2 linked regions of the Oreochromis niloticus genome follow. The protein of the gene in region 1 purifies or fractionates together with the protein of each later gene. This does not show direct contact. Links are inferred from orthologs where the notes say so. Each region holds a gene or a part of one and is shown on either strand. Other genes may lie near its edges.

What was found.
Region 2: the proteins of fndc3a (region 1) and tent5c purify together in Homo sapiens (affinity purification with western blotting; 3 studies listed by BioGRID, with this or other methods). This does not show direct contact. The link is inferred for Oreochromis niloticus from reciprocal best matches to the Homo sapiens genes FNDC3A and TENT5C.

What each region holds. Positions count from the first base shown.
Region 1 is NC_031979.2:31,779,848-31,787,425, reverse strand, and holds the start of fndc3a (fibronectin type-III domain-containing protein 3A), read right to left. Parts: upstream 3,057-7,578; 5' UTR 2,553-3,056; intron 1-2,552. Other genes in the region: rcbtb2 (RCC1 and BTB domain-containing protein 2), read left to right, coding at 6,908-7,033. UniProt on the Homo sapiens protein: Mediates spermatid-Sertoli adhesion during spermatogenesis.
Region 2 is NC_031987.2:28,029,118-28,036,858, forward strand, and holds the start of tent5c (terminal nucleotidyltransferase 5C), read right to left. Parts: upstream 3,031-7,741; 5' UTR 2,971-3,030; coding exon 2,909-2,970; intron 2,815-2,908; coding exon 2,728-2,814; intron 1,770-2,727; coding exon 596-1,769; 3' UTR 1-595. UniProt on the Homo sapiens protein: Catalyzes the transfer of one adenosine molecule from an ATP to an mRNA poly(A) tail bearing a 3'-OH terminal group and enhances mRNA stability and gene expression.

The DNA of each region.
Region 1 (7,578 bases):
ACCATGAATACATACAATAGTAATGTAACGAAGCAAATTTAAACAAATCTGTGCTGGGTGACACGAACAGACAGGAGTCCTAATTCACGCAAGTTAAAATATTTCAAAATTAGATGAAAAATATGCATCATGCTGTGTCACTAAAGACCATCAACTGGACTTCTCTCAAGGACTGTGGATAAGCTTATTATTGGCATTTGAGGGCAAATGGAGTTCTATGGTTCAACTTCAGTTTTATAAAGAAGGAGGGGTTAAGAAAACTTTGTAGTAAGTTGTCAAAATATCTTACTGTAACTTGCTTCCAGCTATTGGTCATAGTCATCCTTGAACCATTGGCTATAACAGGCAAATATTTGCAAAAGCGGTATATAACACATAGTTTGTCAACACAAAGCAAAAAAATAAAAAACTGTACCAGGTACATTCTGAGGCCGTCACGTAAGCCAAGTTGAATCAATACCAGAAATGAATCAAAGTGATACTAAAAAGTGGTTACATGTGTCACATGCCATTTTTTCTCAGACGTTAAATACCTTAACTAGTTAAGAAAAGAATGAAAGAGGCGAATTCAAAACAAACCTAATGCGCCTATGATTGAATTTAAAATCATTTGCATCACAATGTGAGAAGAAAGGACAATGGTATAATGTTTTGGACGTGACTTATCATGTGACAGATATCAGCATTCAGATAAGACCAGGGTTGTAAAGGGTTTACACAGTGACTACGAGAGAGGAAAAAGAAACTGGATGATGGCATAGAGAAAAAACATTAATCTGTTCTTTCAAAGATTCCCTTCTCATCTGTCTCCTCCAGTATACTGCACTGGCAAACATCTTCTCACAAACCCCTTCCATAACAAATATACCTAAAAGCTGACCATTCAGTGATTGATTACTAAACTCTAACAATTAAAAATTGCATAATTAAGTTAGACCATGTCAGAATTTCTAGGGAAAACAACAAAACAATACAGAACAAACAAACTAAACAAAAATGTTTTTTATTCAACACTCCACTGACACGGGAGTAAAATACCAAAGTTATACACTGAGGACTTACCAACTGTAAATAAAATGTATACAATTGTTACATGGCTAATAAAATTCCCGTGAAAAGCAACAGAACACCATGAAAGAAATGTAACGTGTCCTTGAACTTAATTACTCTCTGGCGCATGCGTGCCTAAACCTCACTGTGATCTGGCTTATCTGTTCGCTTTAGTCCCTCCCCTCCTTAAGCCCAAACAAAGTCAGTTTACAGTGTGATGGTCAATGAACTAGGCCTGCAGAACCATTTATACAGCCATGAGGGATTGCCATGTGGTTAATTTTTGTAACACTAGCAGGCTTTAGATGAATGCCAGACTTGTGTGGCCTTGAGGCCTCCAAGCCATTTACTGCAATCAGCTGGTAGGTTGTCTGGTAATTTTATTCTAGTTGTAAATTACGTGCCAAAACCACAGTGACAACAGCTACCTGGAGGTCAGTAAAATGAGAAGCAACTAAGGGAAATCCCTAATGACAGGCAATTCTTTATATTTCCTCTGACCACCCACCACTTACGCAGTTAAAGTCAAAAATTCTTTCTTTTTTTCCCCTCATATGGGAAAAGATGATCTGAAAGTTCATTACACATTTTCCAAATTTGATGGTGGTAAGTGGAACATTAAGATTGTGATTATTAAACAGATGCAGTGACAGCAGTAACATATGAACAGATGTATATACTTCTGTCTTTTTGCTCCTCTTTCTGTAACAAAGTTATCTGAAACTTTCAGAACTATAGCCTATCAGTAGTCACCACCTACGACTAGAAAACAGCTGTAACTCCTGTTATAGTTGTGCTGAAATCTGTATCGAAATAACAACAGATAACAGATGTTACATCTGTTGTTGCCCTGATTGTGCCTCACATTTGTTTGTGGCTACAGAGCAGTTGACAAGGACACACCAGCTGTTTTTCAGTTGCAGTTTTGGAGAAAACGGGAAAACACCTTGAAGATTTGAACTAGCTTTTCAGTTTAATTATCAGCCACACAAAATTGTGGTAATGATAATTCTTGTCGTTGTTTAATAGCAGGTCACGCTCTAGTTTTTGCTCAGCTGTAATGCGTAAATTTAACTGTAGCACTTAGACATATTTTCGTACCAGACATCTGCACACGGGGTAACAGCTGGTCATCCTTTGACTGAAAGTATTTGACGTCGTTGACACTCGTTTAACATTACCTGGCCTGTCAACTACACGCACGAGCTCCTTCTATTATATGTCACAGTATCAGCAATAAATATGTTCAGAGATAGGGCTTTTCGTTGGTAATTTTTAGCTCCTTTAACAACTAACTACCTCGCACCCGAGACTGTTTACTTTGGCTACAGGTGTGTGTGCTTAGCGTTATATCATAGCTAACAGTTATCTAACTGCAGCCAACGTACTGGCAAACAATAACCTTACAGGTTAGTTCGACTTCCTTAAAATGATAGCGTCAATATGTTGTTCGCTGTAGCAAAACAAGACTTATTGCCAAAAGCGCAGCTAACGTTACTCACCCAGTCAGTTGGCACAGCAGCAGTCTTGCTCAACAAGCCGATGCACAGTGATGAGTCTTATGAAGCTCTTCCCCGAAATGTTTAACGTCAGCAAGCTTGGATGACCAGCAACTTTCTGTAGAACCTGAAGCTGATGATAACTTGCTAGCTACCCAGACAAACACAAGACAAGGCAAAGTGTGACATACTAGCGTAAGCTACCTAGCTAACAGTTAGCAAGATAGTATGCGGTCTTCTCATGAACGACGCAGGCTCGCGTTAACAGCACCTCAAAACGGTCGAAGTAGCTAGCGAGCGACTGTGACGATGCAAAGTATCGATAACGTCTGTCTAACCCTCAGTTTTATCGAGATAACTTTCCATCCAACCCTGTTCCTCGCATAAAAAGCAGGAATGTCGCCATCGCTTACACCACTTAGTGCGCATGCGTATTCGAGCAATTCATCACGAATCCTAATTTACAACATAGCAAAGATAAACGCTAAATAATGTTACTATATTTAATTTTGTTCTTGTTGTGAACCCGGTCAGTATCCGGTGCTGTTATGATGAACTTCATTTGCCTACCTATTTTTTTTCCATCACTTTAAGAAAGACCTTACGGTTGACGTGTCTGTGATCGGTTCGTCCAACCAAGTCAGTCGGGGGGGAATCTAAGAATGCTACGTGGTCAGTCCAGGGACCACCTTGCTGTTCTCCATATAAGACTACACTGCTACTTCTACCTGGTTTGTAACCAGAAGAACACAGTTGTACTAAAAATTACCAAGCATGATTGAACTGCAGTATTTTACACGCCAGAGAGACAATACTGAATGTATGGAGAGAGAAAAAACAACCCTTTCAAATTTACACACTGAACGGTGTTGTCAAACCTACACAAGACACACACAGACAAATTGAAATACAATATCGCTTTTAGCAGAAAGTAAGTGTGGATCACTGGTTCTTGTAAACCGTGCAGTGTTGGGTTTGTTATACGTTTTGATTGAACACAAAGATATTTTAATATTATTTCTGTACTCCTGAAAGCTTGTTTTGAATATACACTGGTATATATCAAAGAGATAGTCGTTTTTCTGATTGTTTTGTGTTCTTTCTGTTTTATTGATTTTTTGCCCCCTGGTTTGTTTTCTACTTGAAATTTACACCATTAGAAATTCATGTTGCCTGGAAACTGCAATATTCCCTTCATTCATGTGCCTTCCAAATTTGATCTAATTAAAAAGTATCTATTTATCTATCTATCTATCTGAAACTTTCTTTCATGTGCTAGTCCTTTCTGAATATTAAGTCTCAGACAGACACTTAAACAAACATCACAGACAATGTATCATACACAACCTAGTCCTAATGTAGCTACCTACATATGAAACATCACTATACTATATATCAAATGCGTATAATTGTTGCAGTAACAATGTACACACTCACCCTTCTTGCATAGGCGGTCTTTAAATCTTTGGTAAAACCATTTGCGATCCCATCACTGATACACACCAAGATGGTTATCAATGACTCCACCTGCTGGACTTAATAAAGGAATGCCCCATTGTTTCTGCTATAGTTCTCAATGAAATATGCAGTGGAGAGTCATCTTCCCCCAAATTGATGAAATAAAGGTTAAAAAAAGATACCTTTCCATAAATTTCTTTGACTCTTTAAGACAGACTGATTATACAGTAATCAGTGAAATATGCAGATAGTTGTGTAATTGCAGGGACTGAACGAAAGAATAAAACCAGATGGATTTAATTGGCAAAATAGCAAAGAATGTATAAAAATAATGCCTACATCGACATCTAGTGAAAGATATGTTACATGATAAACACTAGTGCAAATGCATTAACCCTCTATGGCATGAGTGAACAGCGAACACAACACATATTTTATTTTACACCGTGAATTTATTTTATTTTATTTTTTTAATGTAATAACACAAGACATGTAACTTGGGATGCAGTGAGTTTCAGAAATGCACATAGACTTGTTGTCCAAATCTATACTCAACAAGTTCACACTCAGCAAAGTTATATGCAAACACCTGCACACACTTGAAGATGAAGGGGCATACATTTTAAGACTTGAGAAGAAATGCACGATGAAAAACCTACCTCAAGGACTGCAGCAGAACACAAAATATAATACAAAGTAATGAGAAACATAATGAGGAAGTAAATGTAAGAGGACAATGAAGAGGGAGCAAATTTACAACAGCATCATCATGCAGTTGGATCACTTTTCTGGAGGCAGTAATTCTAAAGCAGTGGTTTTCAGCTCCCTGAGGACTTCTTTTTTTGGGTGCTCTCTTGCTGTAACATGTCTGATTCAAATGATCTGTTTTTTTCAGGCAGCTGCAGCATTTAATACTCATTTTATTAATTGAATCACATTTTTGGAGCGGGGATTGGGGGTCCTTAGGAGAACCTTTGTGTCTTAGAGTACAGAATGATGGGATATTAAAATAAACCACGCAATAACACAAGCTTATACTAACTTAAACAAAATGCACCTTTTATGGGTCAAAGACCGTGATTGGTCAGTTAGGGTCACATATGTTATGTGTGTGGGCAAGCGTATTTTTGTGTGTCAGGAGCATGGAAGTGACTATGGTGCATTCTGTTTACATTCTATTTTTTTTTTTTAACTTAAAGGAGATTACCTCTCTATTGATACTGAAACTATGCCTGTAGTTGCAATGGTACAGGATGACTCAGCCAGAAATGTATCACCCACATCTGTTTCACACCAGCAATTGTTTCCTAAAGTTCCACACAAAATTAATATTGGTATATCAACAACTCCTGAAAGGTAGGGTGAAATATTTTTTTCTTAAATAAATAAATAAATACAATGTATGCCACAGATGTTTAAACAACATGCAAAAATATTCTCCATTAAACTTATAACCCAAACGACTTAAAGTCTTGGGTCGTTATAGTCTATTGACCAGTAATGTAACTTCACAAATTAAAGACTATTTGATTTATTTAATCTTGCATAATAGATCGTATTTCTATTGTAAAAATAATAATGATAATATAACTATGATGCAATTTGAAACCTTTATTTTTTCTATGTTAAGCTGTAAACTGCTTAACAAAGCATTTAAATGTTAAACAGTCTGTCACTAATTACTGTATAATACCAATTTAACCTTGAAGCTCCCAGGTCCGATTTTCAGTAAACGCACCAAGTGACTACAGGAAGTGTGGTGTTGTGTGTATGTTTTTTAGGCGGTGGTGTAGCGATTAAAGCTAGCTACAACAAAGTGCAACCATAGCAGCTAACGTGAAGCTAGACCTACACCAGTTTGTCGGCATGACGTCCCCGGCAAAGTTATTTGAAAAATATGTTGGGTGACATGTTTTAGTATCTTTTTTTTTTTTTAATCAGAAAACGACCTCGCGGACTAAGCACTAGCTAGAAGGTAACGTCAACACTTGGAGGTACCAGCAACAACACCGCTCTTTACGCTAATTAGCTTGATAGTTTTTGTGGGTTAACTTCAGGTTGTAGTTTCATTGCTGGAAGTTTATATATCAAAACCAACACACTTAGTTTTGCGGTGCTTTGTGTTTTCTTTGGTGTCTGCTGATTTGACGTGTGGGACATCTTACCAGCAGTAACAGCAGCTGGTGGTCATGGTGGTGTATGTGTGTGTTTAGGGTGGTGTTGTCTGGGTTCATGGAAAGTGCAACTTGATATGCAAAACAATGCAACAACACTGTAAATTTGTCAGACGCGGCAATAAAAACAGGTTTGGTTGGTTGTTTGTTTTTGTGAATAAAAACGGAACCGAAATATATTGTTAGCAATACAAGATAATTACCTTTTATAGGCCTTACAAATAATGATGCACAGAGGATCAGACGAGTAGGTTTTACTGTTGATTGCAGTTTTCCATTTATCACACAGCCATAGACAGCTGTGTGGTTTGATAATAGAGAGTAATGGTGCAATCATTGAAGCCGTTATATTTGAAATATTATGTTAGACTTTAGAGATGACATAATTTTGACTTTACTTTCTGTGGTAGTAAAGGTCATTGAACAGATGTACACGTTTTAATCTGTCTGCCCATCTAAATCTGAATGCTGCTGGTCACTCGAGGCATGATAAAGATGGAAATGTAATAATCTGTTCTTTAACATATATGTATGCATTCCATGATACAGGGCAGAAAGTTCCTATTATCCAGTTTAATAACCAGACCATCAAAGTATTTAACATGAAAACATACTCCTGCTTTTATCTGTGTTTTTCAGTTTATCTAATCAACCTTTCTTTTATTCCATTGTGAGTTAGATTCATATTCTTCTCCATGTTTTTTCTTTTTTTCACAGCTGAGTAGTATGCTGGACGTGGGAAAGTGGCCAGTGTTTGCACTTCTTCCTCCTGAGGAACTCCGGCTTATCCGGCAGGCTTGTGTATTTGGCAGTGCCGCAAATGAAGCCCTCTATGTCACAGTTAATGATGAGGTAACATTTGGAGTTTAAGCAAGGTTGCCTCCTTGTTCTTCTTTACATGAAGCTGTCCTGCAGCACGCACAGATGTCATTCATTTTGCTGTATTGATTTTTGAGTAGTTCTTGTTTTGAAGTGGATATAAAAATGCTCCAGGCCTCTTGCTCTCTGCTTGATATGAGGTGCACAGGCACAGGGATAAGCAGATAGAATGAGGCTATCTTTAGCCACATGAGCTTAATGCCTGAGCCTTTGGAAAGGTGCAGTGCATGCCTAATCTTTCCACCCTTGCTTATTTGTTTGATGTTTTGAAACAGCCAACTGTACCGTTAAATTGTATTTTGGTGGATTTCACTTTAAATTATGCCGTACATCACATTGAGCTGCACCAGCATGAGCGTGCTTGCTGCTGATTTTTTTTTTTTTTCAGTCATAATTTTAGAAAGACAGTCTCACAAATTATTATAGCCTGGTTTCAAGTGTAGTTAGTTTGTTTTGGTGTAGCGATGAATTTGCAATTTGCCAGCTTAGACAGATTGGATTAAGACAACTTCACCATT
Region 2 (7,741 bases), on another chromosome or scaffold:
ACACCGGTGATGAGCTTTTTTTTTTTTTTTCCCCTTTTTTGGCAGTCAGCTATTATTACTCTTTCCCCAATAATACAATAATACTATTTTTCAATATTTTATGCATTTTTTCCAACTTTTTTTTCCTAACCTTTTTCTTTTTTTTAAATCAAGATGAAAACCAAATGTAAGGCTACGGCATTAGCTCCTCTTTCCCTTCTCCAAATCACAGCCCATACTTAAATTACTGATGGGGTAAACTTGGAGGTTAAGGCACAAAATGCAACTCCATTAAGAATGGGATTGATAAACAGTGAAACAACCAAACATGAGGAGAGAAAAAAAAAAAAAAAAAAAAAAAAATTCGAAACACTTAAAAATATCACTTTCGATTCAATGACCTAGACACCTCTGTCGTAAAGGAATGAGAAAACAAAAGCAAAACGCTTGTCCACTTAAATATAATTGTGCCTTGAGAGGAACAAATTATTTATTGCCCAACATTTTTTTTTAATGTTTTTTTTTTTTTTTTTTTTTTTTTTAAATTCATTCCTTCTCTTCTCAAATGCAGCAGCAGTAGCGACGCCATCTTGCTCATCCCAAGTTGTTTGTCTCGTCAGTTACACGGCAGCCATGTTGGAATGTTCTGGTTGGCCACATAGTAGTTGCTGAAGTTGTGGTCTCGGACGTAAGGCGCTGGCTGGTAATAGCAGGTGACGCAGGACGCGTCGGGGATCGCGTTCTGCTCCGCCAGGACTTGGAGGGCCATCAGCGAGATGAGGTGGAGGGTCTGCCGCCGCTCGTGACCCATGAGGCACACCGTGCTCTCGTTAACCACTCGCCGGAGAATCGTGAGGTAGTCGTACTTGCTCTTCTCCTCGCCAACAAAGTGGCTCTGGAGGTAGGATTCCACCTTACGCTGCTGCTCTCCTATGTCAGGAAAGTCAATGAAGAAGCGTGAGCACATATATCGCTCCAGGCCCTTGAATTCCTCCTCGCTGGCGGGCTGGAAGTCCCTCACCAACAGGTTGCAGTACTTCAGCAGGCCACCGCCTCGGATCTCCTCAGGCCGCTTGGTGGCAATGAGCTTGTTTCGCAGGTGGCTCAGCGCAGTGTTGAAGTCTCCATACATGCTTTCCCCACTAACAGTGGGGTGAAAGGCCTCTGACATGGGCGCCTGCTCCACCTCATAGAAGGAGAGCATGGAGTCCAGCACAATCTGAAAAGAGTCGACACTGAACTCAAACTGCCGACGTATTGAGTCCACAAACTTCAGCTCCACATTACGGCCATTATTGTTGGAGAGGGAGATGAGGCTCCAGCGGTCCTGCTCTGTGTTCACCTTGACAAGCTTCTGCACGTAGGCCTCTTTGAGGGTCATTGGTGTAATTTTCTCTTTGTTCACACCCTCAGGCAGGAAGTCCAGCAGGGTACCAAGCACAACATCCTTGATGAGCTTGAACTCAGCCTCGTGTGGCAAGTCCACCCTGAAGATAACGTCCAGGTCCTTGTAGCTCCAGCCAATATCTTGCACCAGCACATGGCTGGCTGTGGAGCCATTAAGCCGTACGTCCTTCACCTTAATGCCGCTGAGCTCAAGGCGGGAGCGCACCCGAGCCACAATATCATTCAGCTGCACCTCCAAAGTAGGAAAGTGCCCCCGTCCATGAATGGGCACGACCTCAGTCAGAACTTCATTGAGCCGGCTCACCTGCTCCCAAGTCAAGTCGCTGAAGGGACAACTGTTTGATACCTCCTTGTTATCCATCTTCTCAAAAAGTTTAGATTGACTAAGGAGGCAGGACAGAAAAAACAAAAATGTTAGTGACAGCCCTCAAGTGTGACACATACCAAATAAAGTCTACCATGTGACAATATTAGCCAATATTCTTTAAAAGAAACAAAATTACTGTTTCTTAATTTTACCAAATTTGGTCTAGCTGTAGTAATGTGTGTCTAAAAAGGGGGGGGGGGGACGCAGTTAAATGTAATTAAGAACCATTTTCTTGCCGTGAAACAGGAGCAGCAACAGGAGCGTTCAGCACGAGCACAGGAGAGCGCGAGCATGAGACAACCTGCACGCGACACACAGTAAAAGGACAGAGCCCGTGAGGTTTCTAGAACAGCTCACTGCGCAAGCCTGCCTTTTATTCCAGAACCGCTGAGAGACAAACACCGAGCTAGCTTCAAGTCCAGTAAAGCCGGGGGTCTCCCGAATAAACAACCGGTACTACTACTAGTTATTCACCACTACGTGGAGCGACAAAAGTCGCCGCGACACACGTTGGGCAAAATTTTAAACAACAGTTATTTATTCCAGCTGACTTGTCAATTTAGCCGTGCGGAGGTCAAAACCAACTTTTACTCTATGTACAGCAAATAAGGCTCAGTGCTAACAGCATTTAAAACGCGTACCAAACTCTGCTCTGAAACTGACGATAAGAATGCTTTATCACTACACTAGCAAGATAGTATTACGGTTAACTTAGTGTCGAGCCATATGGTCATAAAACCCTTTGTAAATTCAGCGGTTATGCAAAGTTGGAATATCCTCAAGCAACACACTTTTAGGTATCTACGTCTCACGTTAAAATAGCGCAACCGGCGACACGTTTTTGAACCGTGGCTACAGCACGGCAAACTTTAAATTTAGCAATTCATACTTATCAAACGCACTATTTTCCCCAACTACGAAAATAAAACACAGATTTGCGTAAGAAACTGAAGAGGGTGTTAAAAGATACATACACTTCCAAAAGGCTGTTCTGTAAGCATTCAAAGCCCGAAATGTGAGATGTAAAGTTGGCTGTCACGCACACGCCTCCACATAATCCACTGCCCGAGAGAGAGACACAGTCGCCGTTTAAAAGACAGCGTTTGAACCACCAAAGCCACTGAAGACACGCCTGTTATATAGCCGAAGTACTACCTTTCCGAAACACATGCACCGCCGTGGCACGACACAGTTCCTCGGACTATGTAGTTTGCCATTTACACTTAGAAAGTACAATGTGAGCAATACAGCGAGGATAGTTAAAATAAAATACTAACTTTAAATATTTACCAAAAAACTTAGTTTTCATCGTCTGCAGATCACATAATCTTAGAATGGCCGCGTCAGATTGTACCAATGCGCCTAGCTAAGTATCTGATTGGCCAATGAGGTTTATGCGTTGCCAAGTAACCAGGAGCGTCTAGTTTAAGAGTAGCATTTAACTGTTGGTAGGCAAAGATTTCATAATTTCATTTCATTTCACTTTGCTGATATTTGCTGATATTTCGACTGTCATAATAAATTCCACTCATAATTTGTGTTACTTCAGAAAAAAAGATTCATATATATGGATACATATTTATTTAAAACAGGGAAGCTAAAACTACCATCTATGTATCAGAGATAGCTGCTGTTAATTATTACCATTTATGTGTATGTGTGTTTTCACAGTAAATCTGACCCAAAATATTTGTCCTGCGTATAATATTGCATTGCTAGTACTTAACCGTTTGTTTAAAAAAAAAAAAGTAATTATCACCACTGACATTTGATAAAAGTACTAAGAATGCAGCTATTCTCAAAGCCATTGAATGAGCTAGAATATGGATATGTAGTCGCTGAAGTACAGGGTAAATGTACTTATACTTTATTTTTACACCTTTGTACTTCCACTCCACTCTATTTTATGTGCAATTATTGCACTTTGTAGTCCATAATCTTTAAACCTCCAGTGACTTATTATTTTTTATTGTTAATATTATAAAACTACCTATCAGTTTGTAACTAATTAAAATCTCCTTCAGCTGTAAGTATCGTTTGAGCTTAAAACACTTGTTCTATTACTTAAATAAAAGGCCTAAATACTAATTTCACCAATTTCACTAAATAGTCATTTAAACAAAACTATCTTTAAGGACTTCTTAGTGTCACTTTTCATGTAACACCACCTCTATGATGACATAGGGCTCCACTGAAACCAGAAAATTGTGCCTAGTGTTTTTCACAATCTATTTATTCCTCATTAGATATTCCAAGTTCCTGTGGACACCCCCAGCCTTATTCTTCTTCTCCACTTAAATCAATAAATTCATAAATTAATAATCCTGGAAATACCCCTGTATCTGAGTAATAGAATACAACTCAGAGGTCAAACAAAAGCAGTCTCAAAGTCCTTAAATCTCTGTAAAAATGCTTAAACGAAAACTCTTAATCTTGTTCTGAATTAGAGGGTATTTGATTTTTTTTTCTTAATAATCTTTCACCAGGAAACCAGACTCTTAATATTAGGAATCTCTTCTGCAAGACTGTCCTGAGCTGAATCAGTTAGCATTAGCTTGCCATGGTTCATGATAGTGGAGTAAACTGGAGCTCCTATAAACCCGCACAAGCACAGGGAGGGTCACAGAAGGGTCCTGCCTTGGATTTAGATTGGTGATCCTCATGAACTAAAAGCTGCCTCTGACTAACAACATATTCAGAAAGATTTAAAAAACAAAAAAACAAAATAAAACAAAAAAAGCATACTGATCAATGATTTTTCCATCAGTCTAGTTCAAATCCTCTTCTGCAATTACTAGTGACCAATCAATTCACAAATTTCATGGGCTTAGTCTGATCATCTTACACCAGAACAAATATATGTCTAAATCTGTCAAACAGTAACCAGTGGTCAGTTGCAGTGGCTGAGTACAGTTAATCTTCTGTATGTCTTGAAGAAAAGTGTGTTGTTTAATAGATAAGTGGCCAAAATACTTGGCCTTCTACTAACTGTTAACAGCAATACAGGAAGTTATACAGGAAGCAATGCTGGCCGATACTTTCCCCAGCTGCTGAACCTACCTCATAGATTTCTATGGAAGAAACCTCACTAGAATTTCACCCGAACACAAACTTAAAAATCCTCTTTAGATCACACCTACATTGATAATCACCACATCTGCATGCTAAGTATCCCCAAGAAAGGTTTTCTCTCTCTCTCAAAGATGAATTATTGTTAATGATTCTTTAGAAAGAACCTGCAGAATCCCCCTGATGCTGTGACAGGATTGAAAAGACCAGTGTATTCTGAATGAGAACACATAATAATGAACAGACTTAAAGAACAAAATGAAACAATTACATAATTTCCTTAGGGACTATTAAAGTGTTCTGATTCTGATTGAGTCTGAATTTATTAAGGATTTGCAGCAAAATCAATAACAAAAAAAAGTGAAAAAATTGCAAACCGAACAAAGTGAAAAGTACAGTATACAAAACTAATGACATCCCCATTCAACATCATTATAAATAAAACTTCTAAACTGATGTGGGATTTCAAAAATGAATCCCCTCCCACACAGTTACATACACTTCCAAAAAGCTGTTCTGTAAGCATTCAAAGTTCGAAATATGAGATACGAAGTTGGCTGTCACGCACACGCCTCCACATAACCCACTGCCTGGGAGACACACACAGCCACCATTTAAAAGACAGCAATCAAACCACTAACCCCCTGAAGACAAGCCTGTTTTATATAGACAAAGTACTATCCACTGAAACACACTGGCACGACACAGTTCTTCGGACTATGTAGTGTCTGGTAGATATTTTCGCCAGCTGCTGAACCTACCTCATAGATTTCTGTGGAAGAAACCTCACAAGAATTTCATGCTAAGTATTCACAAGAAAGCTTTTCGCTCACTCTCAAAGATGAATTATTGTTAATGATTCTTTAGAAATAAACTGCAGAATCCCCCTGACGCTGTGAGAGGACTGAAAAGACAACTGTATCCTGAATGAGAACACATAAAAATGAACAGACTTAAAGACAAAAAATAAAGCAATTTATTAAGGAATCGCAGCAAAATCCATGACAAAAAAGGGAGAAAATTGCAAACTGAACAAAGTGAAAAGTGCAGTATACAAAACTAATTACATCCCCATTCAACATCATTATATAAAAAAAGTTCTAAACTGATGTGAGATTTATTTTCCTCGTGTCAAAAATGAATCCCCTTCCACATTGCTCACCCTTACACACAAACACATCAGTGAATGAGTCAGGGAATAGGTGACTTAAGATTCGGTTTCACGAGTAAGAACCATTTCCTTTCCTCTGTGTCGTCCACGATGATAAGACCGGGAGGTGAGATGAAACCACCGATCAGCAGTGTGAAGCTTAAGCTGTGTCAGCTGCGTGGTTGTGGATTGTGGGTAGCGTGGAGCCCCTAAGGGAGCCAGGCTGTACACCAGCGTCAGTGAGTCAGCATCAGGAACACTGATAGGAAACTAGCCGATCAGCAAGGGGATTCCCTCCTCCTGCCTGCCTTAGCTTCTCATTTAAGACTTTTTTCTTAATTCTAACTTGTGATGACAGAAACTTTGATGTCATTTTCAGATTTCACTTTAATACAGTTTTTTTTAAATGATGTTTCATTTAAGCGAACAAAGGGAAGACTGTAAGCTGATAAGGATGGGGGGGTTACTTTCCCATTTTATGTGATGATCACAAAGATCACATAGATGAAAAAGGAACTTGTTTTGGGGCAATTGGGCAGTAAAACTGACAGGCTGCAGCTATAATGTTGGTTATCAGTGTTTGTAAAAAAGAAAATGTTTAAAAAACAACCCTATGAATTTTCAAGAACACAAGATAATGTCTCAGAATCACTTGGGTTTGAATTTAACTTTATAAGATAAGATAAGATAAGATAAGATAAGATAGGATAAGACAGGATAAGATAAGATAAGATGTGATAATATAAGTTAAGATAAGATAAGATAAGATAAGACGACCCTTATTGTTATGTAAGCACAAGCATACAAAACATTTGGAAGCACTGTTGAACCTGGTGTATAGAGACAAACAAACAGTCACACTACTTGAAAAAAAGAGTAATAAGAATATGTTTAATACAATAATAAATGAAAGAATAAATAACTCAATACTGTGTTGGTAACACTTTATAATACCGCTTGCAACTAAGGGTGTATTTCTCCTGTAATTAAACCTTTCACGCATAGTGGTCACTTCTGTGGACAGCTATTCAAAGCCTGTTTTCTTGTATTTGTGTCAGTGTTGATGGTATACTTGCACATAAACCACTACAATGGACACTGATGTGTCACTCCATACCAAATTCATAAGTCAAAATGTATGTTGTCCACCTAAGTGGACTTGTAAATAACTCTTTGAATAATGCATGTTTAAAGAAAATGAAGTGAATAATTAAGAAAAAATTCCTGATTGAGGTTGTCATAATTCATGCATGAAAGGGTTAAATTGAATTTCACTCTATTTTATTTAAAGTTACAATGTATTTACCTACACATACTTACAGGTAGTTACAGTACAATAGGGAGGTAACAATTTGGGTTTTTACATGAAAAAAAAACCTGTATGTAATTTTAAGTAGTGTGAAAGTGAGTAATTCTAAATATTTAACGACTTTGGGTATTTAACTGGAAGATACAATTTATTACATAAGCAATTTCAAGTACTGTAAAAGTAATATTAAGTAGGGCACAAGAAGTTGTATGTTACAGGAAAGAAGAAATAATTACATTGTAAGTAGTTTTAAGTAGTGGGAAAGTAATCGCAAATAGTGCCTGATTTCTGTGTATTGTGCTGGAAAGGAGACAAAAATTAGACTCTATGCAATGTTAAATACGACATAGGTAATTTTAATTAATGTGTAATTTCCTGATAATTTTCCAGAAAAACAAACAATATTTCCATATCTTGTGTAAATATGCTGTACTTTTTGGGGCACAGGTCCAATTTTGGA